Notamacropus eugenii: one gene and its partners. The protein of the gene in region 1 interacts with the protein of each later gene in a pairwise test. Links are inferred from orthologs where the notes say so. Each region holds a gene or a part of one and is shown in the gene's direction. Other genes may lie near its edges. The genes, in order: SFN, BAD, MARK3 and CCNH.

Region 1 (6,578 bases):
CACATCAGTACGCTATCATACATAGACTGTCATGACTTGCTCTGGCCCCAGAATGCCTTGTGCTGGTGCTGAGCCTTGTCCTGTGCTGATGAGCCTCTGCATACTTCTCAGAAAGCACATGCCATCTTTCCCCAGGCTTCTGCTGGAAATCTTTCCAGCTTGGTAGGGCCTGCTAGCACTTGCCACAAACAGACCTTCCCAGGCCCAGAGTCACCTCCATGACATAAAGTGGTGTCAGAGAAGGATGAGTAGAAATATGAGTTAGTTTGGCCTTTCTGGTTGAGGATTCCCTTTTGGTTTCTGACCTAAATCCCGTCCTTTCCTCTCAGGGCTGGTTTGGAGAGGGCCTGAACAGCCAATGGCCACCTGCCTTCCCCAGAATAACTCTTGAGTGCCAAAGCAAAGCCTGTTATTATCAGGTAAAACATTATTGGGTAGCCATGTGGCACTGAAGGCTGGGGCCCTGCCTTCCTAAAGGGGATGCTCTGCGCAGGGGAGGGAAGGCAGGATGGGGAAAGCAGCCGTTTCTGCTGACACAGGGCACTGAACAGGGTGCTCTCATGGAGCTGTACTGGGAGAGGCCGTCCAGACCTCCCTGAACAGCCAGGCCTGGACCTGCTGCCTCCTCAAGTGATAAATGGAGGCCTGGAGGCACAGGGAGGTGCCCAAGACAGGAACTGAGTCATAAGTCAGGGAGGTACAGAATCCAGGCAAACTGAGGAGCCTGAGAAAAGTTAAGGGGCTGCCCAAGGCCCCTAGCTGCTAGGGAATATAGGATATCTTACCTTGTCCAGAGTTAATAACTGCCTTTTAATGCATGCAAAATGTTTTACACTCAACCTTTCTCCTTTGGGCCCCAAGGATGGAACTTGAAGAATGAGAGTAAGGAGCTATCATAAAGATACTGCTGCATTTTATAGATGGGGAAACTGAGTCTCAGAGCTGAAGTGATATCGGATCATAGAACTAGAGCAGGGAGGCCATCTAGTCCAGCCCTTTTGTTTTACAGATAAGGAAACTGAGATTCAGAAGTGGGGACTTGTTGAAGGTCACACAGCTAGTAACTGTCTGAGGAATACTTTGACCCCAGCAATTCCTAACTCCAGAGACAGTACTCTATCCACTGTTCTAACCTGTCTCTGTCAAATGAGAGAAGGCCATGTTCAATAGGGGTTGGGAGGAGGGGTGGCAGTTTGGAGAGGTCAAGCATATATTGAGAAGGCTGTAAGACAATATTAATGATGAGAGGAGCCTTAGAGGTATCAAATTAAATTCTTTCATTTTGCAAATGTCCCTTGCCCCAGAGAAGGGAAGTGACTTAGGCATCCAGGTAGGCAGTGACAGTCTGGACCAGAAGCAGTCTCATGACTGACGGTCAACAGACATTTATGGAGCGCTGCTACGTGCTGGGCTCTGTACTACATGCTGAGTATTGGAAGAAAGGCAGAGAAACAAACCATACAACCCTAGACCCCACTTCAGAGGAGCTCACAGGCTGAGGGGGTGACCTACATGTCCAGGGGAAGCTGGGAGATTCTCGGAGGGAAGGCTTCACCATCCAGCATGAATTCCCTTCCATGGGCTGGGCTGTCATAGGATAACTGATCTGGGAAGGTACAGTGAGAAGCCAGGTTTCTGAATCCCTAGGGCCAGTCCTGCCCTCCTCCAGCACTGCTGCATCCGGAGATGGAGAAGCTGAGAATGAGTGACAAGCACTCCAGGAAGGTGCTGGAGAGGTCTGGAACCGATTTAGGCCAGGTAGAGGGAAGAGTGGTACCAAGACAGAACTGATCCCAGGATCAGCTCTACAGCTAGGAGGGCCCTTAGAACATAGGATGTCAGGACTGGGAGGGCCCTTAGAACACAGAATGTCAGAGCTGAGAAGTCTCTTAGAAAGAGCTGGGGGCACCTTAGAATACAGGATGTCATGACTACACATGTATAACCTAGGTTGAATTGCTTGCCTTCTCAAGAGGGTATGTGGGTAGGGAAGAAGGGAGACAAGGTTTTAAAAACAAATGCTAAAAAATTCTGTTTACGGTAACTGGGAAATAAGATATACAGGCAATAGGGTGTAGAAATCTATTGTGGCCTACAAGCAGTAAAGGGAAAAGGGATAGGAGGGGGCGAAAGAGGAAAGGGCAGACTGGGGAAAGGGGTAACCAGAATGCACACTGTCTTGGGGTGGGTGGAGGGGAGAGAGATGGGGAGAAAATTTGGAACTCAAAATCTTGAGGAAATTAATATTGAAAACTAAAAATAAACTAATTTTAAAAAAGAACACAGGATGTCAGAGCTAGAAGGGGTGGAGATGAGGTGGGGGACCCAGGTATTTAGAGCTACTTAATTTTATAGCTGAGGAAGCTGAGGTCTGTAGAGAAGAAGGTCTTGTTCAGTGTAACAAGGTCAGCAGCAGCGCTGAAATCCAAGCCCAGGTCCTCCGACTACAAGCCCAGTGGTCTGTCACCTACCCCAAAATCTCAGAAAGAAAACTAGGGACAAACCTTATCCCCTTTTCCTTCCCAGTAGAGCTAGCCTGGCTTGGAATCTCAACCCCTACACCAAGGATGCCTTGACGACGATGACTGGAGGAACTTCACCTCCACCCACGTGGATTCCTCCGGTGAGCAAGGTCTTTCTCACTTCTAACCAAAATCCCTCCTGATTCACCAAGAGTCTGCTCCCTCTGGCTAGGTGTGACTCTGTCTTTCCTCCTTAGCAAAGAGGCTGCTGTCATGAGCAGGGAAGGATGACTCCTAATGGGACATCAAACAGACTTGGGCAGTGGCTTCCCCAAGAACAGGTCATTTGCACCCATGTAGGTGGGTACTAAGAGAAGCCGGGGGAGGTAGGGCGCTGCTTGGTAGCCCTCGAACAGGGACCATAGAGGAACTGGATGAGAGAATCCCGGACAGATTCCCAAAGCAGGAAGCCTCACCCCTGAACACTAGACCTGCACTTTGTAGAGCTGTGGGGTGGGGCTATATGGGCAGGAGCCCCTTGGTGTTCAATAGCCACCACCGCCCCGTAGGCAATGTGCCAACTCCCTCGGGTGTGGCTCTCCGTTGAGGTGGAGTCAGAGCCCGGACTGGAAAGGAGGTGTGATCCACTGTGGCCTGAGGGCACAGAGAAGGGGTACTGCTACTTGCCCCCCTGCCCAGCAGGGGGCCATGAATAGAGGACAGGGGCAGAAAAAGATCTGTGAAATAAATTAGAAGTGGCTGAATAAAATCCCCATAAGAGTCCTCATATAACAAGACCTTGGCTATCCATGCTGTCACCACTGCCTCCCCTGGGAGTCAATACCGCCCCCCTCCCAGGAACTAAACTGGGCCTAGAGCCCAGGTGTCCTACTTGCCAGCCTCAGACAAATCAGTGGAGCCTGGCACTAGGTCAAAGGTGAGTCAGAGAGGAAAGTGGGGCAGCTGACGAAGTTGGGGACCCCACCCTCTCCAGGGCGCCCACATGAGCCTCCCTGATACTCTATGGCTTGGGAGGGTACTGCCAGACACCTAAGCTTGGAGCCCAGCCACAGCAATGTCCCTGGGGAAAGTCCTCCAGCTAGTGGGAGCTGGTTGCTCAGTTGAAAGGGAAAATTGCAGTGTAATGGGGATGGTATTGGGCCCAACTGGGTGGCTAATTACAAAGGATGGGCCTCCAGCGTCCTCGCTTGTTAAACTCATCTTTAAGTGGCACATTGAGATGCCACCTCAACAATCTGGGGGGGAGGGGAGGAGATTTAGGGAGCAGGGCTGTGGGGTCCTTGCTTAGCTCTGGAGGGCTTCTCAGATAGGAGTATGCCTAAGGCAGAGAGATGCCTGGGGCCCTCCCAGGAGGATCAGTAGGAACCAGCACTGCCCATTCCCCAGGGATATCCAATACAACTCCTGGCATATTGCAGGAGGCTGCCAGGCTGGGCCCACATGGTACCTGTGCCACAGGTGGAGTGCTTCCTCCAGTGTCTTCTAGACCCTGGCTAGGGGCTGAGTAAGGGCAGAGTTTGTTGGAGGGCATTCAGATATTCTGTGTTTAAAGTCAAAAGACCAGCTTTTATTAAAGGGGTGCTTTGTCCCGCAGACACAGTCTCTGTTACACACACCCCAGAGTGAGTGCACCCTGTTACTGAACCATCCACACACTCCCCCATCCCACCATTCACATCTGACCGTACAGACCCATAAGGGACTGACCATTCCTATTTCCTAAAAACTAATGGGGTTTAGCGATTTCAGGAAAACCTCAAGCTACTTTCTAAGCCTCCCACTCCCAGACTCCCTGGGTCGTGATGAAGAAGCCCATTATTGTCCGCGGTAACTGGGAGATCAACCTGGGGACCCAGAGCAGGCCCCTGAGCATTGCAGAGCCTGTGGGACAGAAGGCCCCGGGAGGCAGCTGCCTTAGGTGGGGCCCACGCCTGTCTTTCTCCGGTTGAGTATCCCCATGATGACTAATGCGCCTCCTGTCCTGGCCTCTTTACCTTTAAGGAGCAGCCAGGAAAAAAAAGAAAGAAAGAAAGAAAAGGGCCCAGGACTGGGGGAGGCAGGAGCCAGAGGCCCAGCCCCGCCTCCCGCCCAGCCCTGCCCCTCCCCACCCCTGCCAAAAAGCCGGGCTGAGAGGGAGAGGCTGAGCAGAGGCAGAGCCCAGGTGCCCCGGGATTCAGCGCAGCCCCGACCCAGCCCCAGCCCGAGCCATGGAGAGAGGCAGACTGATCCAGAAGGCCAAGCTGGCGGAGCAGGCCGAGCGCTACGAGGACATGGCCGAGTTCATGAAGGGCGCCGTGGAGAAAGGCGACGAGCTGTCGTGCGAGGAGCGCAACCTGCTGTCGGTGGCCTACAAGAACGTGGTGGGCGGCCTGCGGGCGGCCTGGAGGGTGCTGTCCAGCATCGAGCAGAAGGGGGCCGAGGAGGACAGCGCCGAGGCCAAGGAGCGCGAGCCCGAGGTGCGCGAGTACCGGGAGAAGGTGGAGGGCGAGCTGCGCGCCGTCTGCGGCATCGTGCTCGGCCTGCTCGACTCGCACCTCATCAAGGACGCGGGCGACGCCGAGAGCCGCGTCTTCTACCTGAAGATGAAGGGCGACTATTTCCGCTACCTGGCCGAGGTGGGCACGGGCGACGACAAGAAGAGCACCATCGACTCGGCCCGCGCCGCCTACCAGGAGGCCATGGACATCAGCAAGAAGGACATGCTGCCCACCAACCCCATCCGCCTGGGGCTGGCGCTGAACTTTTCCGTCTTCCACTACGAGATCGCCAGCAGCCCCGAGGAGGCCATCTCTCTGGCCAAGACCACCTTCGACGAGGCCATGACCGAACTGCACACCCTGAGCGAGGACTCCTACAAGGACAGCACCCTCATCATGCAGCTGCTGCGAGACAACCTGACCCTCTGGACGGCGGACAGCGCCGGGGAGGAGGGCGGCGAGGCACCGCCCCCCGAGGAGCAGCCCCAGAGCTGAGCCCCGCTCCCCGGCGCCCCGACGGCCCCTTCCGTTCCCTGTCCCCCGCCCCGGCCTGGCCCCCCTCGGGAGAGAGGACTTGTGTGTGGGGCGGGCCCCCGGATCCCTCTCCCTCCCTGCGCCCTGCCTCCTCCTCCTCCCCTCCCCAGCCCCTTAGCCCCCCAACCCTACCCCGCTGCGCGCCCCGGCTCTGGAGCGACTCAGACGCGAAAACGAGGGCAGCTGGGCAGGGAGCTCCGGGAGTCTCTCCGTCTAGGCCCAGGCTATCAGGGACGGTGGTGGCAAGAGCCCCCACGATCGTCCCAAGATCTCTGGCTCTCTGAGCTGGCCCCGGGGATCGCCCCCCCGGCGCTCTCCCTGTCATCTCCTGCCCCTGCTCCCTGTGGTTCTGAGGGATTGGGAAGTGCCAGGCCCTTAGGGGCTTGGGAGGGACTGGACTGGTGGGGCCCAGAGGTTGTGTGAGTGTGTTGGAGGAAGGAAGAGTGTGTGGATGTGTTTGGGTGACAGCGTGTGCTCGCGCGCTGGTGTGTGTGTGCGACTGTCAGAGAGCATGTCTGTCTGAGTGTGACAAAGTTCCTTCTCAATAAAGAAAGCTTCCCTGACACTCCTTTTGTCTTTTTGCCGTCTGCGTCGGAGGGGCAGGTGGGAAGGCTCACTTGATGGGGCGGGGCGGGGGAAGGTGTTGGTTCTGAGACCTGTCTTCTTTCTGGTTCTAGAGGCCAGCATTACCTGGCCCTCACCCCCAGGGGAGCTGGCCCATCCCAAGGAGCAGCCGGAAGGGATTTGGGGTAGATTACCTCAGAGTTAGGTGGGGTTGAGGGGTGGGGTGGGGCAGGGTTTTTTTCTAGTGACAGAATCCAAGGTCAGGGACTAACCCTCAGTCCCCAGGAGAGTTCACATCGGAACAGAGGATTTCAGAGGACTCCTTCCTCTTCCTCGAGCCCTAAGATAAGGATCCGTAAGAAACAGCCCTGGTGCTGGAGTGGGAGGAAAGTTGGACCTGAGAAAGCCAGATCTCGGGGTGGAGGAGAGGGGAGGCTAGGGCAGTGTTGAGAAGAAATGAGAGTGAAGTCAGATTCCAGGACAGGTGAGATGAGAAGCCACAGATCTGAAGGGAGGAGGA
Region 2 (7,921 bases), on another chromosome or scaffold:
AAGGGAAGGTTGGAGTACAAACCTGAAGTGCTATGGCAGCGATGCCCAAGGACCCGAGCTGGCCACGGCCACTCACAGTGCTGAAATGGAAGGGTCTCAACTTTCTATCTTTCTCCAGAGTTGTCAGGAAGTTCAGTGGCGTAGGGTATAGACAAGTTACTCCACTGCTCAGCTGGGCCTGTTCCCCACATGCCACAGTGCTTTGACTAGCCCAGATTTCCCCTTTAATGGTCTTTCATCACCTGCAGGAGGCATCTGATTAAAATAGGTACAGTACTGGACCTGAAGACCTGATTTCAAATCCAGCCTCAGAAATTTACTAGCTATGTGACCCTGGGTTCTATAAAACGGGGATGATAATAGCACCAACCTCCCAAAGTGACTGGGAAAAATCAAATGAGTTCACATATGTAAAGCCCTTAGTACAGTGCTTGGCACAAGTAGATGCATAATATGTGCTTATTCTGGGGAAACTAGGTGGCACAATGGATAGAGTGCCCAACCTGGAGTCAGGAAGACCTGAGTTCAAATTTGAGCTCTGATACTTATCAACTGTGTGACCCCAGGCAAGTGAGTTAATCCCGATTGCATTTCCCCATTAATGAATAAATATTTATTCCCTTTCCCTTCACTGGCACTGTACTTTTTGAACTTGGAGTCCTGCTAAGTTCTTTCAGCGAGTGCAAGGACCCTTAGTTTAGGACTGGCAGAAATCTCTCTTCTCTGACCCCTTAGGAGCCTTCATTCTGAGGTCTGTCAAGGCCAGGCAGGCCTCTCAATAAGGCATTCCACCTTGCCACTGGAGCTCTCAATCCCCAGGACTGTTCCACTCAATGAGTTCTGGACCTGGTTGACTGTCTTTCTCCCCTTCCCATCCATCTCTTCTCATACTTGGAAACTTCATACATGATCCTACCTAACTACTTGGTTCTTCAACCCACTCAGTTTCTAGGATCTAAGCCTCCATGACACCCCAGCTGTACAAAGAAAAGACAGATGATCACACCCTTGGTCTTTCCACCTCCACCCCCACCCCCTGACTGTTCCTCTTCCAGGTTCCCCTCCCAAATTCTTTTATCCAATCATTCCATCCTTCCCTTCAGCCTGTTTTTTGTGCTCATCTATCACTCTTACACCGGCCACACTGTCCTCCCTTCTCCATCTCAACCCCTTGTTGAACCAACTCAAGGAACGCCATGTTCTTCTCTACCCTCTTTTCCCTATTTGTAGATCCCATCTGGCCAAGCCTCCACCCTGGATTGCTCCCACCTTCTACCTCTTTGCTCCAGTTCATTGCGGAGGGGGGCGGGGAGGAAGGAGTAATAGGAAATCACAGAACCAGGTTGATTGGGCCCATTACACACTGATGACATCTGAGCTTAACTGAGCCTACACCGCCACAAAGCAAACTTTTTATTTTTCTCCCCACACTCCACAGGAACTGTTCCTTCTCATCTCTCTCCTCTTCAGTCTCTGCCAGTCTGCCAGCTCCTTGCCAGCCACCTACAAACATAACTATGGTTCCTGTACACTCACCCAATCTGCCCATCCTCTCCACAACAGGATCTGTTCAGTCTTTGGACCATTTATTCACCTCCCCAGGACTCTAGAATCTAACTCCATTGGCCTTCTGACTCTTCCTCTAAAAAGATGATCATCTTCAGATTCCAGGCCTTTGCACTGGCTGTCCTTCATGCTTGGAACACACTCTCTCCATCTAACCTGGTTTCCCTGCACTTCTTCAGGACTCCTTTCAAATCCCACATTCCACAGGAGGCCTTTCCAGGTCATCTCTGCCCCATGGTGCCTTCCCTCTGGAATTAACTCCCATTTATTGAGTGTGTGTCTTTAGAGGGCAGGAACCTTGTCTTTGCTTATGTCTGTATCTCCAGCCTTTGGCACTAATATGTGCATGATATTTGTTGACTGACCTCAAATCCTACCTTCTGCAGGAGGTTTTTCCCAATCCCCAGCAGTTATTACTGTTGCATCCTTGGCCATTGCCAGTTCTCCTGATGAATATCTGGCCACTGCACCCAGATGGCTCTGGAGGAGGAAGGGAGGCTGGTGACCTTGCACAGCCCTCCCTCACTCAGACCAAAGTCAACTGCAAGTCATGTTATCTCCCTGATGCCATGGTCCTCTTCCTGAACAAAGGACAAACACAGCAATAACATATGTATGAGTGTGTATGTATATGCATATATATATATATTTGTGTGTGTATATATACCTATATTTATATTTACATGTCTCCCCCATAAGAATGTGAAACAGGAAGATTTTAATTCTTTTTATTATTTACCTTTCTTTGAATCCCCAGAATTTACCAATGTCTCATACTTAGTAAGCTCAGTAATTGTTGATTTGTTTGACAGACTGATTGACTTCAGGCGATCAGCAGCACTCTGCAGGGTCTGGGATTGTCTAGGGCTAGGTCGCTGGGAGAAGACAGGGCTTCAGTCTGTGCCCGAGAAGCCCTTTCTAAGGCTAAATGTCTTCTTCCATGCAAGTGAGTTGCTCAAGCATCTGACTCAAATAATTGGGGGATGCCTATTTTGCATCTGAAGACCTTCCTCTCCATCCCCTGGTCTTTAGCCCCTTGGGGCTCCCTAGGGGATACATCACCATGGGAATGTCGTTAGGTCCTTTCAGTCTAATTCACTCTCCATGTCCCCATTTTGGGTTTTCTTGGCAAAGACATTGGAGAGGTTTGTCATTTCCTTCTCCAGTTCATTTTACAGATGAGAAAACTGAGATGGAGAGGTAAAGTGACTTGCTCAGGGTCACATAGCTAAGGGTGTCTGAGGCCAAGTTTTAACTCAGGACCATCAGTATTCCTGACTCTAGGCATGGCATTGTAGCCACCGGATCACCTAAGTACCCTATTTCATTACGCATATAATTATTATGAGAGGGTAGGCACAGAGCCCTAGACCCAAAGTCAGGAAGATTCATTTTCCTGAGTTAAAACCTGACCTCAGACACTTTCTAGCTGTGTGACCCTGGTTGAGTCACTTAACCCCCTTGCCTCAGTTTCCTCATCTGTAAAACGAACTGAAGAAGGAAATGGCAAACCGCTCCAGTGTCTTTGTCAAGAAAACCTTAAATGGGGTCACAGAGAGTAAGACACGAAAACAACTAGACAACACAAACATAATTCTTATAATCATAGTCATGACATCAAAAACATAAAAGGCAGCACTGGGGAGTAGACAGAAGGCCAAGTCTAGCCTCTAATACAGACTGGTTGTATGACCCTGGGAAAATCACTGCTTGACTTCCAAGCGGTCCCCATAGGATGCTCGAAGAGTATTTTAATTTAGGAACATAGACTTAGGGCCAAAAGAGACCTCGGGGCTCTTTACAGATGAGGAAAGTGAGACCCAGAGAAGGAAACAACTTTCCCAAGGACACAAAAGATTCAAATACTGAATCTTGGACCCAATTTCATTCAGTACTTAACTGGACTCCAGTTTCCATCAGGCCACTGTACCTGGCCTACAATTTCCAGCCATTTTGCAGGTTTAGGTTGTTAGACAGTCTAGGAGGTCCCTTCTACCGAGAACCTCACAAGTTCCAGCAAAAATAATAGCTATTATTATTAAATACCTCTCTTAACAGTCAACAAACAATTATTAAGTACCTACTATGTGCTAGGCAGTGTGTTACCTGCTAGGGATACAAAAAGAGACAAAAGACAGGCCTTGCACTCAAGGACTTCACAATCTAATAGAGACAGACAAGTAAACCACTCGGAACAAACAAGCTACAAACCAGATGACTAGAAAGAGAAGGAGAGAGCGAAGAGGGACTGGGGATGGCTTCTTGTAGATTGGGAAGGGGGGACCTTAGTTGGCACTTAGGAAGCCTGGGAGGTCCTTGGGGTAAAGGTGACCAGGGAGAGAATATTCCAATTGGCAAAGGCTTTCCCTGAACCACCAGCAGACTGTGTATCCCCATTTTACAGAAGAGGAAACTGAAACTTTGAGACACACAATTAATGTGTCGAAGGCGGGCTTGAAATCCAAGTCGTCAAAGTCCAAAGACAATTCCCTGCCAACCACTCTTGTTTTTTAACTGAAGATGAGTCGGTGTTGGGCTCAGAATGGAAGTTTAACTGAGTCATTCTGGAACAAAGAAAGTGAGGAATAATTTCCAGATGGGCCAGACCAGCCTAGACATCCAAGCAGGAGTGGGTGAGAAAGTGGGGAGGGAAGGGAGAGGGTAGAAATAGTCCGCTTTGGAGAAAGAGTGCTCAGGTTCAAACCAGTCTCTTCTCCCCATCTAAGTGGGGTGACCTTGGGCAAGTCCCTTCACTCCCCAAGGGCCTCAGTTTCCTACTCCGCACAACGTGGATCATTCAGAAAGTTGGTCAATAAGCATTTATTAAGTGAAGGAAGAAAGAAAAATAAAAAGTTAAAGTTAACTGCCCAGGAGGAGCTTAGCTTCTAACGAGGAAATCCACGAGTGGATACAAGGTAAACAGTGGCCGTCACTGGAAGGGGTCTCGGAGGGAGGGGATTGGAACCGAGCCTGGGAGGAGGGGAGGGGGAGGCCCATGGCAGGAATGGGGGAAGGGGGGAGCCCGGCTAGCTAGAAGTCGAGGCTCTCGCAATCTCGGCCCCGGTCCAGGTCCGCAGAGGAAGCCAGCGCAGGACCAGAGGAAGGAAGAATCAGAGTGGCCGGAGAGGGGAGGGAAGAAGCCTGGTCGCCGGGCCGGTCAGCTGGGGCGGGGGGAGGAGGGGCCAGGGGCCCGGGCTGGGGGAGGCCCTCCACGCCTCCTGCTTTCCCCTCCTCCTCCTTCCTCCTCCCTCCCAGCGGGGGTGACATCGCGGGAGCTGATTGGGTCAGTTTCATGACAGTTTCACTCACCCAGGCAACGGGGGCTGGACTCCTAGGGAAACCGGAGGGAGGGAAAGGGGAGGAGAGAGCCCCAGAGCCCCAGAGTGGGGAGCCCGGGAGCTGCCCCCAGGCGCAGACCCAGAGACAGAGAGAGAAGGCCGGGGCTGCCCATCCGGGTAAGCCTCCTTCCCCCGGGGCCAGGGCCAAGGGCAAGCCCGGGCTTGGGCTGCAGGGAGCGGGCCCCAGCCGGGGAAAGAGGGAGGGAGGGAGGGGAGAAGGGAGGAAAATCCTCTGGGCTGCCCGGCGGGGATGGAAGCTGGGAGGGACAGAGGCGTAGCTGCCCGACCCCACCTCCCCAGCCTCAGTTTCCTTCTCTGTCTAATGGGGAAGACAGGCTTGGCCCCACCTCCCTCCTCGTGGGGATGCTGGGAGGGAAGGGCTCTCCTGGAGCGGAAGCTCCCTCTGCCGGTGTGGATTACAGCCCCAGCCCTGGCCTGAATCTTCGGAAGAGGGGTCCCTCCCCATAACCCCCCTACAAAGTCTGCACAGGAGCGACTATGGGCAAGGCACTGCCCTCTCTGGCCTCAGCTTTCTCCTCTGTCAAATGGGAGTAAACAGCATTAAACTGAGAGGTTGTGGGGAAAGTGTTTGGCAGGTTTTAACAGGGCTGCAGAAAGGTGAGTTCTTATCTGGGACTCATTCTTAGCCGGGGAGGGGAGCTAAGCCGAGCCCCAGACCCTTGGCTTGGAAATCCGAGGAACTGGGCTGGACCCTCTGCTCCCCAAGATACCTTGGAACCCTAGCAAGAGCTCTGGCTCTCAAGTCAGGGGACCTGAGTTCAAATCCTGTTCCCAGCTTTATCTGGCCAGGTGAATGATCCACAACAAAATTTAAGTGATGAACGACTGCCAGGCAAAGGAGAGGCAGTCCTTGCCCCTTCGATGAGCTCCAATTTTTTCCTGTTTGTAACTCATTTATACCCTTTGTTTGCATGTTGTCTCTCCCACACACACACACTTTCAGTTAAATTGTAAAACCCTTGAGCACAGGGTCTGCCTTCTGCCTTTCTTTATATCCAGAGTTCTCAGCACAGAGCCTGGCATACAGTAGATGCTTAATCAATGCCTGTTGACTCTCTGACTTTGCTAGGGTGTGGTGGCCTGAAAAGAGTGTTTCAAACCCGAAAGTCATTGGTATGATCAAGTCAACACGAATTGATTAAGCGTGTACTGTGTGCCAGAGGAGCAGCTCCCTGGATCGGTAGATAGAGTACTGGGTCTGGAGTCAAGAAGACTCCTCTTTTTGAGTTCAAATCTGGCCTCACACTCCCTGGCTGGGTGACCCTGGGCAAGTCATTTCACCCTGTTTTTCCCACTTTGCTCATCTGTAAAATGAGCTGGAGAAATCACTCCAGTATCTCTTCCAAGAAAACCCCAAATGGGGTCAAACCCAACTGAGAAAAAACTACAAGTGTACCAGAAGGACATCACTCCCTAATAGGTCAATCAGTCAGTCAGCAAACATGTAGTAAACACCTACTGGGTGTCAGGTGCTGTGCTAAGATCTGGGAATACACAGGAAGGCAAAAGATAGCCCCTGCCCTCAAGAATCTCCCAGTCTGATGGGGAGACAGCATGCCAATAGCTGGGTACAAGTCAAGGAGCTATTAACAGGGTCCGTGGAAGTGCCCAGAGAGGGTATGGGAGGGCTGAGAAGGAAGCCCGAGGAGAGCTGACTGACCCATCCTGGGCAGGAATGGTTGTGGTTCCAAGAAGGACTGAGCTGTTGGGAGCATGGCAGGTACTGCCAGGGATCTATCACACACCTTGGGGCTGGCATCTTGGTCCTCTCTCACACAATGAAAGCTCCTGAAGGCTAAGAACTTTTCATTCTGGGCCTTGTACCCCCAGGGCATGAGGGGTCCACTGGTGTATTAATGGGTGTTTGTTGAGTTTCCTCTGGTCTCTTTACTTACAGATAATAATGACCAACCTTATCTCTTTGGGATTTCCAGTGCACTAGGATATGAGGGAGAAACAGCCCCTCCCCCTTCAAATCCAAACACCCTTGGAGGGCAAGCAGGGAAAATATTACTCTCCCTCTTTAACGGACAGGGCAACTGAGGCCTGCAGAGGAGTAGGATGGGGTTTCAGGCAGTAGGACAGTGGAAAAAGCCTAGGTCAGAGAAACCCAGGCTCAAATTGAAGCACATTGCCTGGGACGCTACCTGGGTGACCTCAAACCCCACCTCGCTGGGCATTGGTTTCCATTTCTGTCCAATGAGGGGGTTAGATGGCAGCAGGACTACTGATCCTTAACACGGTTTCTATAATGACATTTTAGAGAGAGGATAATGACTTGCCTAGAATCCTGTAACTAGTAAGTGGCAGGGGCAGGATTTGAACACAAGTTTTACTGACTCCAGAGCTAAGATTCTATCCACTGTGCCTTAAAGCCTTTTTAATATGTTTATTATTAGGTTAGAAGTAGTGCTGGAGCCCAGCAGTAGGAAGGTATCCTAGCTGGTCCTCAGCACAAGTCCCTGTTTTCAGCCCTGAACTGGCACCCGGTGACCCGGCCTCCCACCCTCCTCCAGAGACTGCCCTGGCTTTGCCCCCAACCTCTGCTCCTCTCCTCTCTTTCCTCATCAGGCTAGATGATGCCTCCCACCCTCTGAGCATGTTTCAGATCCCAGAGTTTGAACCCAGTGAGCAGGAGGATGGCCCAGAAGAAGGATCCTCAGCCTGTGCCCTGGGGGAGCCCAGGGAGCTGGGCAGGCACAGCTTTACTGCCCCCAGCCTGGCCCAAAGCAGGCCGAGACAGAGACCTGAACCTGGAACCCACCACCGAGAGGGTAGGTGCATGCCCCCACCCCTCCATGAGCCTGACTCTGGCCTCAGGTTCTCTCTAGTCTACACCATTGTAGCTGTAACCTGAGAACAGCTAATGCCCTGTGGTAGATGGGAACCCAGGACATGTCCAGGTAGTAAGTAGCAGAGAGCTTTCAAAGGGCACAAAGACTTTTGGGACACCTAAAAGGGAGGGACTGTTTTATCTCCATTTTACTGATGTGGAA
Region 3 (7,939 bases), on another chromosome or scaffold:
TTGAGAGCAGAAAGAGGAAGACATCTCTCTCCAGTCTTCTCATCACTGAAACAAAAAAGAAAAGAAAAACAAAACCCTTATAAGAAATAGCATAGTTAAACAAAACAAATCTCTACATTGGCCTTGTCCAAAAATGTATTTCTCATTCTGCACCTTAAGTCTATTGTCCCTCTATTAGAAGATAGTTAGCATGTTTTGTCATTGGTCTTCTGCAATCCTTGTTGGTTATCACACTAATCAAAAATCTCAAGTCTTTCAAAATTGTTTACATTTATAATGGTATTATTGTATAGATTGTTCTCCTGGTTCTCATCCTATTTTAGATCAGTTCATGCAAATCCTCCCAATTTTCTCTGAACTTTCCCTTTCATTATTACAGCACATATACCATAATTTTAGTCATTCAATTGGTGGGTATTCCCTTATTTCTTTGACACTATAAAGAGCTGAATATATATATACATATATATAATATGAAATCAATTCTTTCTACACATATATACATATATCTATATGTTTTTATACAATCACACATATATATATGGGTGTGTGTAAAACATCTGAGTTCCTTTCCTATTTCTTTGCTCTCTTTGGGGCATTTCTTGGTCAAAGGGTATACGCAGCTTAGTGATTTTTGATGAATAATTCCAAATAGCTTTCTAGAATGGTTGGACCTTTTCTGTTCCTTTTTCTAGCATTTTTTATAACAACTCTTTTCGAGGCATCTAGGTGGCACAATGGCACATAGCTATGTGATCCTAGACAAGCCACTTAACTTCAATTGCCTCCAAACAATGTAACTTCTTTCCTGAACCCCCTACTTTTTAGGACTACTCCTTTTTCCAAGTTTATTTTGTATGTAATTATCTGCATAAATGTTGTATCTCTTCAGCAGAATATGAGCATCACAGAGACTATATCATTTATTTACTTATTTATTGTCTTTAGGCAGCTAGCACATGGAACAATGTCTTGTACATCACAGATGCTTTGAAAAACCTTCTGTTCTGTTGGGGTTTTTTTTTCTTTAGATGAGAAGCTCACTGAGGATAGAGGATGTGCCTTCTATATTTTAATATAATTCACAGGGCTGACTACATGATCACATATTAAGGCTTTGTTTCAGTCTAATCAAATGCAACTCAGCCTTCTGCACAGCAGATGAACACACCTTTTACTTTACTGGGAAGACTGAAGAAATTGATATAAACTTCCTTAATTCCCATCTTCCTCTTTTTCTGAAGTGCTGAATATCCTCACACATCTTTCCCATCCCTTTGTTAAGGCTGTCCAATTACTTCAGGCCATCAATCATCCCTCTTCCAGAGTCTGGTGCCACTCTATCTTACCAGCCATCACTCCCCTTCACATATTCTGCATTCCAGCAAAACTAGACTACTCACCATCTGTTCTTGTCCTGTCTTCTCTGGGCTCTAAGCCTTTGTTTACAAAATCCTCATGCCTGCAATGGGATCCCTTTGCTCATTTCCATCTGTTGAACTCCTTCATTTCATTTAATACCCAACTTGGATGCCACCTTCATGAAACTTGGCCACTTCTCCCCTCGCCTCACCTAAAAATTTCTCTCCCCTCAACCCAGTTTTTTTATAGCAATTTGACTGGATCACTCCTTTGTTCTTATTATATTCTGTGATACAAGTATCATAGTAACTTGTGTACGAGTAATATTCTCCTTGAATTGTAAGCTTTTTGAAGGCAGGCTCTGAGTTATTTAAAATTTTTGTTCCCCAGGGGAACACAGGGACTTGTGCTTTAAAATGTTTGTTGGATTGAACTGAATTCAAGGCCAAATGAAAGACCTACTTTCTCTGAAGCTTTCCCTGACTACTCACTTTTTCAACTCCTTTAGTTCTCTGCCCCAGATAAGAAGCTCCTTAATCATATCTTCCTATTGTTCTCTAGGTGCTTCATGCGGGTCAATCTTGCTTCCCTATTGCTTCATAAACCCCTGAAAGGTAGGGACTACAAACTTCAATTCAACGCAAGGCAACAAACATTTATCAAATGCCTGTTGCATTGGGATGACATGCCACTAGAGGAGATACAAAGTTAAAGTAAGTCCCATGCATACGCTTATGGAATTTACAGTTTAGTAAAAGGATTAGACAAAAAGAGAGTCATAACTCATGATATTTCATAAGAGCATCAAAAGTGTTAAGCAAAATTCTGCTTGAAAAATAAGAAACGAAATTTTTATTAGGTTATTATTTTTATATTTTATATTATTATTATATTAGAAGATAATTTGAATTGAGCTTTAAAGGATAGGCAGGAATATGATTTGCTTATAGTTAGGAGATCTGGGTTCAAATATCACCTCAGATACAGTGTAATTATGCTCTCTAAACCTCAGTTTCTTTATCCGCAAAATGGAGATACTACTGAAGCACTGTATGTGTCTGTCATTGCTGTATTTATCTTCAGTAGATGAAGAACTAAAGGGACAATATTCCAGTTATAGAAAACATCTTAAGCAAAAGCATGCAGGTAGGAAAGTGCATGATATGCTGGGGGACAGAGAGGAATTCAATGTGGAGGAAAATACAATACATGGGACTTTGCCCTTTTCTAGAGGCAGCATGGTGCAGTGGGAAAAATATTCCACTTGGAGTGCTGAACTTGGTTTCAGACCAGATCTAGGCTTGAATCCTCACCCTTCCACTTTACATGACCTTGTGCAGCAAGTCTCTGGGTTCTCATTTACATCATCAGTCAAATGAGAGAGTTGGACTACATGGCCCAAGAAGTCCTTTCCAGCTCTGGATCTGTGATCCTGGTACAAGTTTCTAGGACAGAAAAATTCTGTCCACCATAAACTGTTCATGTTTGGTTGGTTTTGCATTGATTACAGTATGCATAAGCAGAAGAAGCTGGTACTTCTGTATCAATATCAAGCATCTTGTATTTTCAGCTTCTTAAAAGCTCATGATGTACTTGCTAATTTTCTAAACAATACAGTGACATTCTTCTCTTCATACCCAAGCCTCCTGTTCACCCCCAGTTAATCTTCTGGGATAGTAGGCTTATAAGCTGTGAGAACTAGAAGAGACCTTAGAGATTTGTGTACCCTCCTAGAAAAAGCCTTTCCTGTTTCCCTTAGTTGCTTGTGCTCTCTCAAATTATTTGATGTATCTCCCTAGTAGATTGTTGTGTTTGTCCTTCGTTCTCAAAGAGGACCATGACATCAAGATGATGACATGACTTGCAGTTGACTTTGATTTGAGTGAGGGAAGACTGTGTAAGGTCACCATTCTCGCTCCCTTCTCCTGGGTCTTCTGGGACCAGTGGCGTGATATTCATCAGAAGCTCCTTGAGGACAGGCACTGTTTTTCATTTTATCTTTACAGCTGTATCATCTTAGAAAATGATTTGTATATAGTAGACACTTAATAAATGCTTGCTCAATTGTTTACCTAGATGGTGGAGAATAGCGTGAGTTAAAGCTGGAAATAAATAAAGAGGAGTGCCAAGTTACAATGGGCCTTCAATAGCAGACATAAAAGTTTGACCTAATTCATGTTCACATACTTACGATCTATGTGGCCTTGGGCAAATCAACTTACCCCCTGGGCTTCAGGAGATGGGACTAGGTCCCCTCCAAATCCCTGTCCACCTCTAAATCCTGTGCTCTCATCTTTGACCTTATTAACTGTATGTGGTAGATAACAGGAAGTCACCAAACATTTTTAAGTCAGGGACAGGACATGACCAGAGCCATATTTTTGTCTTTTGCTCTAAAGGATGGTCTCTTCTATATTTTCCTAGACTACAGAGCTCAGTTCAGTAATGTCTGGCTGAAAGCTGAAACATGATGAGAAGTAGGAAGGGAAGACATGGTCAAGAAATCAAACAGATGGGACTTAACACCCACACAATGGACTTCCAAAGATTCTTTAAAGGAAATATAGGAGTTAAACTCCACTTCCAGAGAAAGAGGTCAAGGGCAGAGATCACTGGATTTAGATTCAGAGGACGTGGGTTCTTCTAGCTTAGCTGCTTATTAATTATATATTATACAATTGATTATATGTCTACGTAATTTATATTATATATTTTATTATACGTTATAGAAATATTTACTATATTTTATATTATATAAATATTTATTGTATTATATAATTTATTTTATAAATGTAGCATATTTATATAATATTTACTATATTACATAATATAATATATTATTAATTCTATGACCTTGGGCAGGTCCATTCCCTGCTCTGTGCCTCAGTTTCCCCTTCTGTAAAAACAGTGGTTTGGACTTCAAGATCTCTCCTTGGTCTCCCGGGTCTCTTCAGTCTCTTAAACCCTACGACCCTAAAGGTCTTCTTTCACCATCGGCCCCACCTTTTCCCCTTATTACCTTCTCCTCCTCTCCCCCTCTCTCTTTACCCCGCTCCCTTTCCCTTTTCCTTCCTTCCCTCCCTGACAGGAATCCAGTCGCCCTTAGCAACAACAGCCAAGGCTTGCCTCCTCCCTCCTCGGCTATTGGCCGAGCCTCCTCCGGAGGGGCGGGGCGAAGAGGAGGTCGTCACTTCCGTTCCCGTCTGGGGTCGGCGAGGGGAGCCGGAGGCAGCAGAGGAAGCTGGGTGGCGGCCATCTTGGATCTCTGAGGAGAGGCGGCAGCGGGCTGCGGAGATTCGAGCGGCGGAGGCAGGCGGGAGGGCGGGCGGGCGGGGCTGGGGCAGCAAGAGACGGTGAAGGGAGACCGCAGTTCTCCTCCGCCCGAGGCCCCTTCCATGGTCGGCACCTGTGACCCTCCGCAGCCTACCCTCCACTCCTCTCCCAGGGCGGCTGGTGCCGGGGTGCGGAGGCCCCGGCGCTGAAAGCTGAGGGGAGGAAGAGGAGCCGCGGCGGCCGGAGGAGTGCGAGGCTCGCGGGGACCCCGGAGAGCCTGGCGGGCGGACCCCGCAGCCTCCCCTCCCCTGCGCGGCCCGGCCCTGTCCGCCGCCGCCGCCGCCTTCTCTGCCTTCTCTGCTCGTGCTGCCCAGCCCCGGAGCCGGGACGGACCTTAGAGACCCCCTAGCCCAGCCCCGCCGCGCCCTCCACTGCCCTGCCCTGGGCACCGCTCTCCTCCCGAGACTTTCCCACGCCTGAAGCCTCCCCGCCCCGGTGCAGCTGGAGGGGCGGGGAGGGGGAGGGGGTCGGTGTCCGGCCCCGGGCTCGGGGGGGTGGGGCAGCGAAAGCAGCATGAAGCCCGGAACCTGCCCGGGGAATCGTTCGGCCGGTCCTGGGCTCTAGACCACCGTGCGGGGGGCGGGAGAAGGAAGCCACCCTCCCCCATGGTGCCCCTTCCGAACCACTACTGAGACTGCCCTGCGGCCCCCGGACCGGCGAGGCGTGACTCTCCCTCGTAGTCGTTGCTCGTTTTGTCGGACGTCCTTTTTGTTTCTTTTGTTTCTTTTTTTCCCCTTTTTCCTCTCCATTGTGGGGGAAAAAATTAAAAGTGAATTAAAATGTCCACTAGGACCCCTCTGCCAACGGTCATTGAGCGAGACACTGAAAACGTAAGTAGCCACGGTATGGATTTACTTAGTAACAATGAGTTGGAAGTATGTATTTTATTCTGGGAGATGTTTCCAATAGTGTCATTGCTTGAGCGCCCTTTTTTTTCCAGAAGCTAAAAAACAGCTGGGTAAATTTTGTCTCCAAATCTGAAAATAACCAGCCTTTTACTACTCACAACAACGTTCGGTGCAGCACCAGCCCAGAGCCCGTGGCCAGGGTACTTGGAGGAGCGCTGAATTGGGAGGACCCCGGCGACATCCCTGCTTGTCACCTTCGTGACCTTGTCTCTGCACCTCCCAGAGACTCAGTTTCCTTTTTGGTCCGTTGGGGTCATATGATTGGCGGTACCTACCACGCAGGGTTGTTAGGAGGAAAGCTCTATGAATGAATCAGGATTTTGCTTGGTGGGAACAAATCCTAAGTTTTGCTGCAGTCCCTGTTCTTTGGGAGCTTTTGGGTTGGTCAAAACTACTGTATCCTATCTAAACTTTGAATCTGCACGCCATGGGCCCGATTTGATCAAAGAGCACTTGACGTGTTTTCTTAAAAATGTTTATTTTCAAACTGGTTCGGAGTAAAGTAATATCTATTGTTCTTTGGGCAGCGAGAATATGTTTTGTGTTGCCTTGGTGGGAGTTATTGACTAATAAAGTCTAAAAGTTGCTGTTAGACTAGTCCATGTAACTTGCTTGGGTTGTCTTCTACCTGCTCCTTTAGGGGGTTTGGAGACATTGCAGTATTGGTTTCTCTAGACTCTGGTTTTGGTCTTGTATATCTAATGAGATTGTCAGTTAAAGATTGTGTTTTTTAGTACTTAATAAAATAATAAATTGGGCAAAATGAGCTACCATTTATGGCTCATTCTTTAAAAGAAAAGGTTTGAACTGGCAATAATCACAGTCTCTTAAAAAATGCTACCTTTAAGAACTCCTTAAGATCTCTTTGGGTGGTATTCAGAAACCACTAGATTTGAAGACCCTAATTACAACGAATACACACATTTAATAAGGAGTAGTTTTTGTAACATCTGTTTTAAGGAGGGGAAGAGAAACAGAAAAAAAAATTTCTTGTTAAATCAGTTACTATTCTTTGTAATCCCTTTAAAGTAGACTTCCTTCACCTGGTGTCCTGGGAACTTTTTAAAAAATATTTTGATAGCTGTATGTAAATATAGTTGGTTTCTTTGGTAATTCTATGTATTTTATTTTATGCATTTAAAAAGTATTCATAGAAGATCCTTAAGTTTCACAGATTGCAATAGGGATCTCTGAGATTAAAAAAAGGTGAAGATTCCTTGTTTTAAAGTGACCCCCCCCCAACATTGGGGTAAATCGTATCCAAATGAATTGTCTGAATTCATCCAGTTTTTAGTGAAGAACTAATTGGATTGCCAACTAAACTTCTCTGCTAAAAAAATATCTAGTTAAGTAATCTCTGGAAAGTAAATCCTGTACTTAAATTTAAAAGTTTATTGACAGCTAGATTTAAAAGCTTTTATTACATTCCTACTATATGCCAGACACTGTTCCAGATTCTGGGGCTACAAAGACAAATGAAAAAGGCCCTGTCCTCAAGGAACATACATTCTGTTGGGGAAACTATGTACACAGGCAAATAAATACACAATATATACAAAGTAAATAGAAGGTTAATTTGATGAATTGATGAGTGGCAACTGCTGACATTAGGGAAGACTTCGTATAGGTAGATGGTACTTGAATGGAGCATTGAAGGAATCTAGGAATTTTAAAAGGTAGTGATGAGCAGGGAATGCCTTCCAGGCATGGGGAACTGTCTGCCAAGCTACAGAAGCAGAAGATAGAGGAGCAGCAAGTAGGACAGTTGGGTTGTACAGTAGAGTTAGAGAAGATGTAATAAATCTTAAAACATGTTCGTGCCAGACCATGAAGTGCTTTAACAGCCAAACAGAAGAGTTTATATTTTAATCTTGGAGAAATAAAGAGCTTTTGGGAGTTTTTGAGCAGGGTACTGGCCTAGTCAGTTTTAGTAGTATTACTTGGGCACCTGTGTAAAAGGTGTGTAAGTAGGGGAAATGACTTGAGGCAGGAGGATCAATTAGGGAGATTTCAGTCCAGATGAAAAAGTGGATGAAGGCATATACTTGGACTGAAACCAGTAATGGGTGAAGGTGACTGATTATAGACTACCTTAGGAAAAGTTTCCTTGCTCTAAGTGTTCTTCACACTTAACTACCACACAGTATCAAATGCCTGAGTTTAATCCCCACACTGCTATTTGTTAGTTAGCCATCTGGTGATTTAATCTCTTATAAAATTTGGGACAGAGTATCTCTTGTATATAATAACCTTGAGTACTTGGTTAATAACAATAGGTCGAAGTTGGTACGAAATTATAAATGATATGTTTTTCTTAAATGCACTACAAACTACTG
Region 4 (7,964 bases), on another chromosome or scaffold:
AAAAACTGTTTTATAGAGCGAGAAAAAAATAGTAACAAAATTCATCTGTAAGAACAAAAGATCCAGAGTACCAAGGGAATTAATGCAAAAAAAAAAAAAAAAAAGGGCAAAGGAAGGTGGCCTAGCTGTACCAGATATAAAACTATACTATAAAGCAATAATTATTGAAACTATTGGTACTGGCTAAGAAATACATTGGTGGATCAGTGGAATAGGTTAGGTACAAGACAACAGTAAATGTCTAGAGTAATCTACTATTTGATAAACCCAAATATTTCACCTTCTGGGATAAGAACTCAGTGTTTGACAAAAACTACTAGGAAAAAATATGGCAGAAACTAGGCATAGACCAACATCTCATAACATAAACTAAGATAAGGTCAAAACAGGTACATGATTTAGACATTAAGCAGAGCAAGGAATAGTTTACCTGTCAAATCTAGGAGAAGGGAAGAATTTATGAACAAACAAGAGATAGAGAATATTATGAAATGCAAAATGGGTAATTTTATTACATTGAATTTGCACTAATAAAACCAATGCAACCAAGATTAGAAGGAACGCAGAAAGCCGGGAAACAATTTTTACAGCCAGTGTTTCTGAAAAAGGCATCATTTCTCAAATACGTAGAGAACTGAGTCAAATTTTTAAGAATACATGTCATTTCCCCAATTGATGAATTGTCAAATGATATGAACAGCCAATTTTTAGATAAAGAAATCAAAACTATCTATAATCATAAAAAAATGCTTTAAATCACTATCAATTAGACTAATATGAATCAAAACAACTCTGAGGTACCACTTCATATTTATCAGATTGGCTAATATGACAGAAAAGTAAAATGGTAAATGTTGGAGAAGTTATGGGAAAACTGGAACACTAATGCAGCGTTGGTGGAGTTGTGAACTGATCCAACCTTTCTGGAGAACATTTTGGAACTATTCCTAAACGGCTATAAAACTGTGCATATCCCTTTGATTCAGCAGTACTACTTCTAGGTCTGCATCCCAAAGAGATCATAAAAAAGAGAAAAGACCCACATGTACAAAAATACTTATAGCAGTTCTTTTTGTGGTGGCAAAGAACTGGAAATTGAGGGGAAGTCCAACAACTGGGGAATGGCTGAACAAGCTGAGGTATATGAATGTAATGGAATACTATTGTGCTATAAGAAATGCAGAGCAGGCAGATTTCAGAAAAACCTAAAAAGACTTACATGAACTGATACTGAGTAAAGTGAGCAGAACCAGGAGAACATTGTACACAGTAACAGCAACACTGTTCAATGATCAACGGGGACAGACTTAGCTCTTCTCAGTAATACAATGATCAAAAACAATTCCAAAAGAGCCATGATGGAAAATGCTATCCACATCCTGAGTAAGAACTGTGGAGTCTGAATGCAAATCAAAATATATTATTTTCATTTGTTTTTTTTCCTTTCTCGTGGTTTTCCCCTTTTGTTCTGATTCTTCTTTCACAACATGACTAATGTGGAAATGTTTAACATTATTGTACATATATTACCTCTATCAGATTGCTTGCTGTCTTAGGAAGGAGCCTGGGGAGGGGGGAAGGAAGGGAGGGAGGGAGTATAATTTGGAACTCAAAATCTTATAAAAGTGAATGTTGAAAACTATCTTTACATGTAATTGGGAAAAATAAGATATTATTAAGTGAAAGAGTCACTATTTGATAAAAATTGATTAGAAAGCATATTGTTGTATGTCAACTCTGAGATGACAAAGGACCCTAGGACAGAGGTTCCCAAACTTATTTGGCCTACTGTCCCCTCTAAAAAAAATTACTCAGTGTCCCTACTTTCTTCAACCTTTTATCCATTTGCTTTTAAAATTTGTGTCATTACTATATATATATATATGTATATATGTATATATAGCATGTATATTTTTACAAATTATTCAAATGTAATTAATAATTTAAATAAATTAAATGCAAATTTAATAACTTTTTTGTAAATTTGTGTTTTCCTGCATTGAAATGCATTGTAACCGTATAGTATCATATTGTAAACAAGTCATTACATGTACATATTCCTAAAGGTTGCACTTCCCAACAATGCTCAACATGCTCATCTGCCAACACTTGCTTGTTAAGACCCGTCTGTAGACTTGACCATTGATCAGTTATAACTTGAATTTGATGTGTTTATTTGGAAAACAATATAATCATTATGACTTTAACTCTGCCACAAAACAGATGAAACACATGAACAGTTTTCAAAATTTCCTAGTTTTCTCTTCTTTCTTTGTACTTCTACTGCCCCCTTATTTTAATTCAATACCCCCAATTGCACCTAAGGTTACTATTGCCCCCCTGGATCATTCCAGTGGCCCCCAGGTGTCGGTGTCACCCACTTGAGAACCTCTGCAGAACCACAGACATGTAGGGAAAGTCATCCCCTCAAGAGCTCCTAACTAAGACTTTTATTATCTGAAGCCCTAGAGAATGCTGAGTGGAATCCACTTTATCACCTCCTCCCCTGATTCATTCCCAATAAGATAATTCTTTTTCCTAGTTTGAGCTGATCTGTCATCCCATTTCCAGCTAAAGAATGTGCTTGCTCTTGTGTATTATTTAGCATATTCTAATCTCTAATTTCTCTAATTCATTTGCTGATTTGTTTGATCAAATAGGTTCACTACCTATTGATAAGGCTCTTTGTGCAACCAGTATTTGGTGGGAAGGGACTAAGTTCCATAGCATAAGCTAAGGGCTACCTCTGTCCTTGAGATCAATCAGGGAAAGAATTTTCATTCTGAACCCACACTCATATCCTTAGAACTCTAGAGACAGCAAAGGTTGACAAAAAATGTCATTCTAGCCCAATACCCTTCAAAGAGATAGGAAAGACCTCTCCATCATGGTATTCCTGGATCCTACCTGATCTTTGCTCACAGCTACTGTCCTGATAGTGCCTGCATGACTCTCTTTTACTCTCCACAAAGATGGACAAAGATTCCGGATCATATCTCCCCATGCCATCTGTGACACTACCGCCCCCCCCCCCCATATAGTTTTAAAACAGATAGCACACACATATATCTAGGGAGTTTCATATCAACTGGTATAAAATGAAATGAATACAACAATTTAAAAAACAAGCACAACCCAGTAAAGGCGAGCAAGTTTGAAAGACTAAAGAGGACCGATCTATCTTACTTCCCTGTCAGAAATGACAAGAGTCTGGTTCACACAAATCTGACGTGATGAGAACAATATCCTCAGTCCCTCTTATTCTTCTTCCTCCCCAGCAAGTTAGGTTGGTTTTTCCTTAAGAGATATCAAAACTATCCTGGAGAGTTAACTGCCTCAAGAGTTTCCAAGTCAACCTGAGGACAAACTGCGAAGATATCAGCTGATGGTGACCCTTAGCCCTGAGGCTGTCCGTGTAGTAGCAGGATCATGCTTTTCCGGATGGAGGGAAGCCTCTTTTCATTAAGTGTCCAAAGGACCAAGAATGACTCATTTATTTCCATTCCACACCAGAGTACCAGCAGCAGAGGGATCCAGCCCCCTGTACCTAAGGTTTGTGTGAAGAGATGAAAAGTGAGAATAAATGGAGTAATTTATACAATGGCTTCAACATTGCAAAGACTACTTTTAATCGATCCTATCAGCAACGCCTGGTAGAGCTGGCGCTTAAAGATCGTCTATAGTACTCAGTAAACTGGGGCTTAGAGGCATCAGGTGACAAGGACACACAGACAGACACAACAAACACACACAGACACAGACACACCCACAGACACACAAAAAGGCAGACACAGACGCACACAGACATACACACACACAGACACACACAGACGGACATACACACACGCAGACACACCCACAGACAGACATACACACCCACATAGACACACCCACAGACACACAAAAAGGCAGACACAGACACGCACACAGACAGACATACACACACAGACATACCCACAGACAGACAGACACACACACATACACACACCCGGATACACACACGCAGACACACCCACACAGACACACCCACAGATAGACAGATACACCCACACAGACACACAAAAAGGCAGACACAGACGCACACAGACATACACACACACACACACACACACACACATACACACACCCGGACACACACATACACACACCCGGACACACACATACACACACGCAGACACACCCACAAACAGACAGACACACAAAAAGGCAGACACAGACACGCACACAGACAGACATACACACACAGACATACCCACAGACAGACACACACACATACACACACCCGGATACACACACACAGACACACCCACACAGACACACAAAAAGGCAGACAGACACGCACACAGACATACACACACAGACATACCCACAGACAGACACACACACACATACACACACCAACACAGACACACAGACAGACAGATACACCCCCACACACACACAGACACACCGCCACGCACCCCGGGCCTGCACACTACATCTGCCTGGTTCTACCTCTCGCAGGGCCAGGAAGGCGCGCCCATCTCAGTGCAGGGCACAATCGCTTCCAGCTTTTCCTCCCTCCGCACATTTTCCTGCCCAGCCCTCCGGGCCACCCTCTTAATAAGACCAGCTGACTGGTCCTTCTAGGTACAGTCTAATTTCCTCTCACAGGGGCTGGGGAGGGAGATTCCTCTTCTCCATCCACAGAGGTCACTGACACCCTAAATCCGCTTCCTGGCACCCCAAATCCTCCCTACTTCGCGCGTAGCCCGACTCTCTGCCCCCTCCCATACCTAGTAAGGGGAGCGCGGGAGGGCGGCGACGACGCAACACGCGCCCTACGGCACACGGCGGGAGGAGTCGCTGCGCCGCGGCCACTCGTCGGCGCATGACGTCACAGGAGAGCTCCCTCCCACGACCTCTACGGCCATAGAAGAAATGCTAAAGCCGGCCCCTCCCCCGCCCCACGCAGAGGCGGCAGCGCCGTGACGTCAGCACGCCGGCCGACGAGGAGAGGCGAGGCGGGGCTTGCTGCGCTTCGTTGTCGGCGTCTCGCGAGGGCTGCGTGCGTTCTCCGGTGCGCGGCGGGCGGCTCGCTCTTCTCCTCCCCGTGTTCTCGGGGCCGTGGGCCGGCCCTGCCGGACCCCTGAGCCTCGGCCGCCGGCCGGGATGTACCACAACAGCAGCCAGAAGCGGCACTGGACGTTCTCGGGCGAGGAGCAGCTGGGGCGCCTCCGCGCCGACGCCAACCGCAAGTTCAAGTGCAAAGTGGTGGCTAACGGGAAGGTTAGTGCGAGCCCCCGGCCCCCCGCGGCCTGGCCCGTGGGCCCCCCCGGGGGTCCCGACCCCCCCGGCCCGCCTTCTGCGGCCTCAGAGTCAGCGAGCCCAGCGCGCCTTCCTGGAGTCGCGAACCCCGAGCTCCGATCCAGCCCCCTGCCTGACCCGCTTCTCTGCCTCAGTTTCCCCGTCTGTCACTTGGAGATAGCAGCACGTGCCTCGAGGTTGCTGCGACGATCCAAGTAGACGTCGGTGCCCCCCGTGGCGGGGCGTAAAGAGCTGCGGAAGTGCTGGTTGTTCCTGTTGTTGAGACTCGAGAGCCGGGGAGCCTCTGAGGCACGCCCCAAGCCTGGAGGGCTAGTGCCCTGCCCGGGATCTCCGGGCTTAGACTCCAACCCAGGACTTCCGGCTCTCTTCCAGGTTCTTTATTTTGCGGAGGGTTGCAGATTGTTTCCAGCTAATGGTTGTGCCTTTTAAATTGGCAGAGGGTCGGTTCTACACTGCGAGAACCCTGACTTGAAATGCATAGCTGCTTTAGGGGTCGCTAACTTGTGGTGTGGAGTTGTGTGGTACTTTCCTTCCTCAGAATAGACCGTGGTGGTCCCAGCCGAGGAATTCATTCTCTTGTGACCCACTAACTGGTGAAGATCTTTATACCTGGCTAAATAGGTCGTAGGACTGCAATATTTATTAAGCACTTAGCATGGCAAGCAGATGCCAGGTATTGGGGATAGAAAGACAGAGAGAAACAGCCCCCACTTTCAGGCAGCCAACATCCCACCAGAGCAGACAGCGGGTGCATCTGTAGGCATGCACAGAATGTAACAGATAATCTTGAGGAGAAGGGGCGCAGCTAGGAGGACCAGGAAAGACCTTGTACAACAGGTGAGGTGGCACTTGAGAGCAGTCACCCTGCAGAGGTAAGAAGGGAAAGCATTCCAGGCATGGGCAGCACCTGGCGTAAAGGCATAGGTAAGAAAAGGCAAGAAGACGATGAGTATGGCGAGGCTGGGAAGTCTTGGTGGGGTATGAGGTGTAACAGTTTCAATCCTAGTATCTCTTTCCATTGTGTCAGACACATGCAAAGATGGTTACTGTTACTCAGAAGTATTCCCCTTCCCTAATTGGAAACCTCTTTCCCCTCTCTGACTTTTGTAAGCCTTACCCCTTCAGAATCTCTTCTTTGCCTTCATTAAGCTCTCCAGTCTCAGCATTTTCTCAGGCTCTGACGAATACTAGTTAGCTTTTTCCACTCCATACTGTCTTCTGCTCTATGATACCTTGCTCATTTGTCCTGTTGTCATTCATCTCTGGACTACCCTCATCACTTTACCTCTCCTGTTCCAACCCAGCTGACCTCAGCTGGAGGAAGACTTCATAAACTTTCTGGCCAGGTACCATTACAAGTTCATATTATCCAGCCTCAACTGAACCTTCACCGCCCTAGGGCAGTCGTTTTAGTGTTCCCTAATAGAGTCCTTATCCAGTTGCCCAGAGAAGGTGACAAATTTGAGGCCGTTTGACAGGAACTCCATTTCCTACTCTGTCCTTCTTTCCTCCAGTCTCAGAGGTGACTTTTTGCCTTGCCAGAGCCAGCCTTTCTACTGTGTGCACCCTTGAGCCCATCACCTTCAGCAGATTGACACACTTAGTCTTCCTTAACCGCTTCTTCAGTCTCAATTTCACTACTGCTTTCAAATATACCTCTTTTAAACATCTCTTGACCCCGCCATCACCTCAAGCTATTGTTTAGTATCCTTTATTTTTCAACCAAGCTCCTTGAAAAAGGTTTCTGCATTCATTGTTTACACAATGTTGAGCCCTTTGTAATCTGGCTTCAGACTTCTTCACTTAACTAAAACTTCTCCCTGCAGAATTGGTAAGGATCTTTTAATTGCCAAATCTGTTGTGGCCCTCTCCTCCTGGATAGTCTCTTCTAGTCTCCCCTTCATCCCCTCCCCCACCTCCAGACTTTTCACACCAATTGCTTATTGGACCAGCGCTTTCAAACTGGATTTCCTGGTGACATCTCAAATTTAACATGTCTTCAACTGAACTCATTAACTCTTCCTATCCATCCTTCTTCCAAACTTGCCCTGTGAAGGACACAACTATCCTTCCTGTCCCCCAGGTTTGTAATGTCAGCTTTATCCTTGACTCCACTTTCCCTTACCCCATGTATCTAATCAGTTGCTAAAGTTTGATATTTCTACCTCTACATCTCTTTCATCTAATACTTTCCGTCTATTCACGCAGCTACCACCTTAGTTTAGGCCCTCATCGCCTCTCACAAGAGTTGCCAAGTTGATTAAGTGAGGTAAAGTGAGATAAAGGTAGTTGACAATAACATTGAGAGGTTGTGAATATGGTTGACTGAAAGGATGATGGGGCCCTTTGGAAGAAGATTATAGGTTTTGGACATACTGTGTTTTCAGTGCCTATGAGACATCAAATTCAAATGTCCAGTGGGCAGGTCATTCAGATCTGGGATTGAACTAAAACTGGGGGATTGGATTTGTAGGTCTGTTCATGTTATGTGTAGATACGCATTGCAACTAATGGTGTAGTGGTTAGGACACTGTAGACAGAAAGCCCTGGATTAAAATCTTGCGTTAGAAACTTGTATAAGATGAGTTTGGATTCAGTGGCTTCTTTTTTTAAAAATTCTATTTTGTGGAATGAAATAAACATTTCCATAACATTGT

The links.
Region 2: the proteins of SFN (region 1) and BAD interact in binary tests that used the Homo sapiens proteins (3 or more experiments, as listed by UniProt). The link is inferred for Notamacropus eugenii from reciprocal best matches to the Homo sapiens genes SFN and BAD.
Region 3: the proteins of SFN (region 1) and MARK3 interact in binary tests that used the Homo sapiens proteins (3 or more experiments, as listed by UniProt). The link is inferred for Notamacropus eugenii from reciprocal best matches to the Homo sapiens genes SFN and MARK3.
Region 4: the proteins of SFN (region 1) and CCNH interact in binary tests that used the Homo sapiens proteins (3 or more experiments, as listed by UniProt). The two-hybrid records come from large-scale screens. The link is inferred for Notamacropus eugenii from reciprocal best matches to the Homo sapiens genes SFN and CCNH.

What each region holds. Positions count from the first base shown.
Region 1 is NC_092876.1:67,974,615-67,981,192, forward strand, and holds SFN (14-3-3 protein sigma), read left to right. Parts: upstream 1-4,610; 5' UTR 4,611-4,690; coding exon 4,691-5,455; 3' UTR 5,456-6,059; downstream 6,060-6,578. UniProt on the Homo sapiens protein: Adapter protein implicated in the regulation of a large spectrum of both general and specialized signaling pathways. Binds to a large number of partners, usually by recognition of a phosphoserine or phosphothreonine motif.
Region 2 is NC_092873.1:17,129,773-17,137,693, reverse strand, and holds the start of BAD (bcl2-associated agonist of cell death), read left to right. Parts: upstream 1-4,913; 5' UTR 4,914-5,021; intron 5,022-7,496; 5' UTR 7,497-7,524; coding exon 7,525-7,699; intron 7,700-7,921. UniProt on the Homo sapiens protein: Promotes cell death. Successfully competes for the binding to Bcl-X(L), Bcl-2 and Bcl-W, thereby affecting the level of heterodimerization of these proteins with BAX. Can reverse the death repressor activity of Bcl-X(L), but not that of Bcl-2.
Region 3 is NC_092872.1:349,732,068-349,740,006, reverse strand, and holds the start of MARK3 (MAP/microtubule affinity-regulating kinase 3), read left to right. Parts: upstream 1-4,932; 5' UTR 4,933-5,474; coding exon 5,475-5,525; intron 5,526-7,939. UniProt on the Homo sapiens protein: Serine/threonine-protein kinase. Involved in the specific phosphorylation of microtubule-associated proteins for MAP2 and MAP4. Phosphorylates the microtubule-associated protein MAPT/TAU. Phosphorylates CDC25C on 'Ser-216'.
Region 4 is NC_092875.1:453,967,024-453,974,987, forward strand, and holds the start of CCNH (cyclin-H), read left to right. Parts: upstream 1-4,950; 5' UTR 4,951-5,151; coding exon 5,152-5,268; intron 5,269-7,964. UniProt on the Homo sapiens protein: Regulates CDK7, the catalytic subunit of the CDK-activating kinase (CAK) enzymatic complex. CAK activates the cyclin-associated kinases CDK1, CDK2, CDK4 and CDK6 by threonine phosphorylation.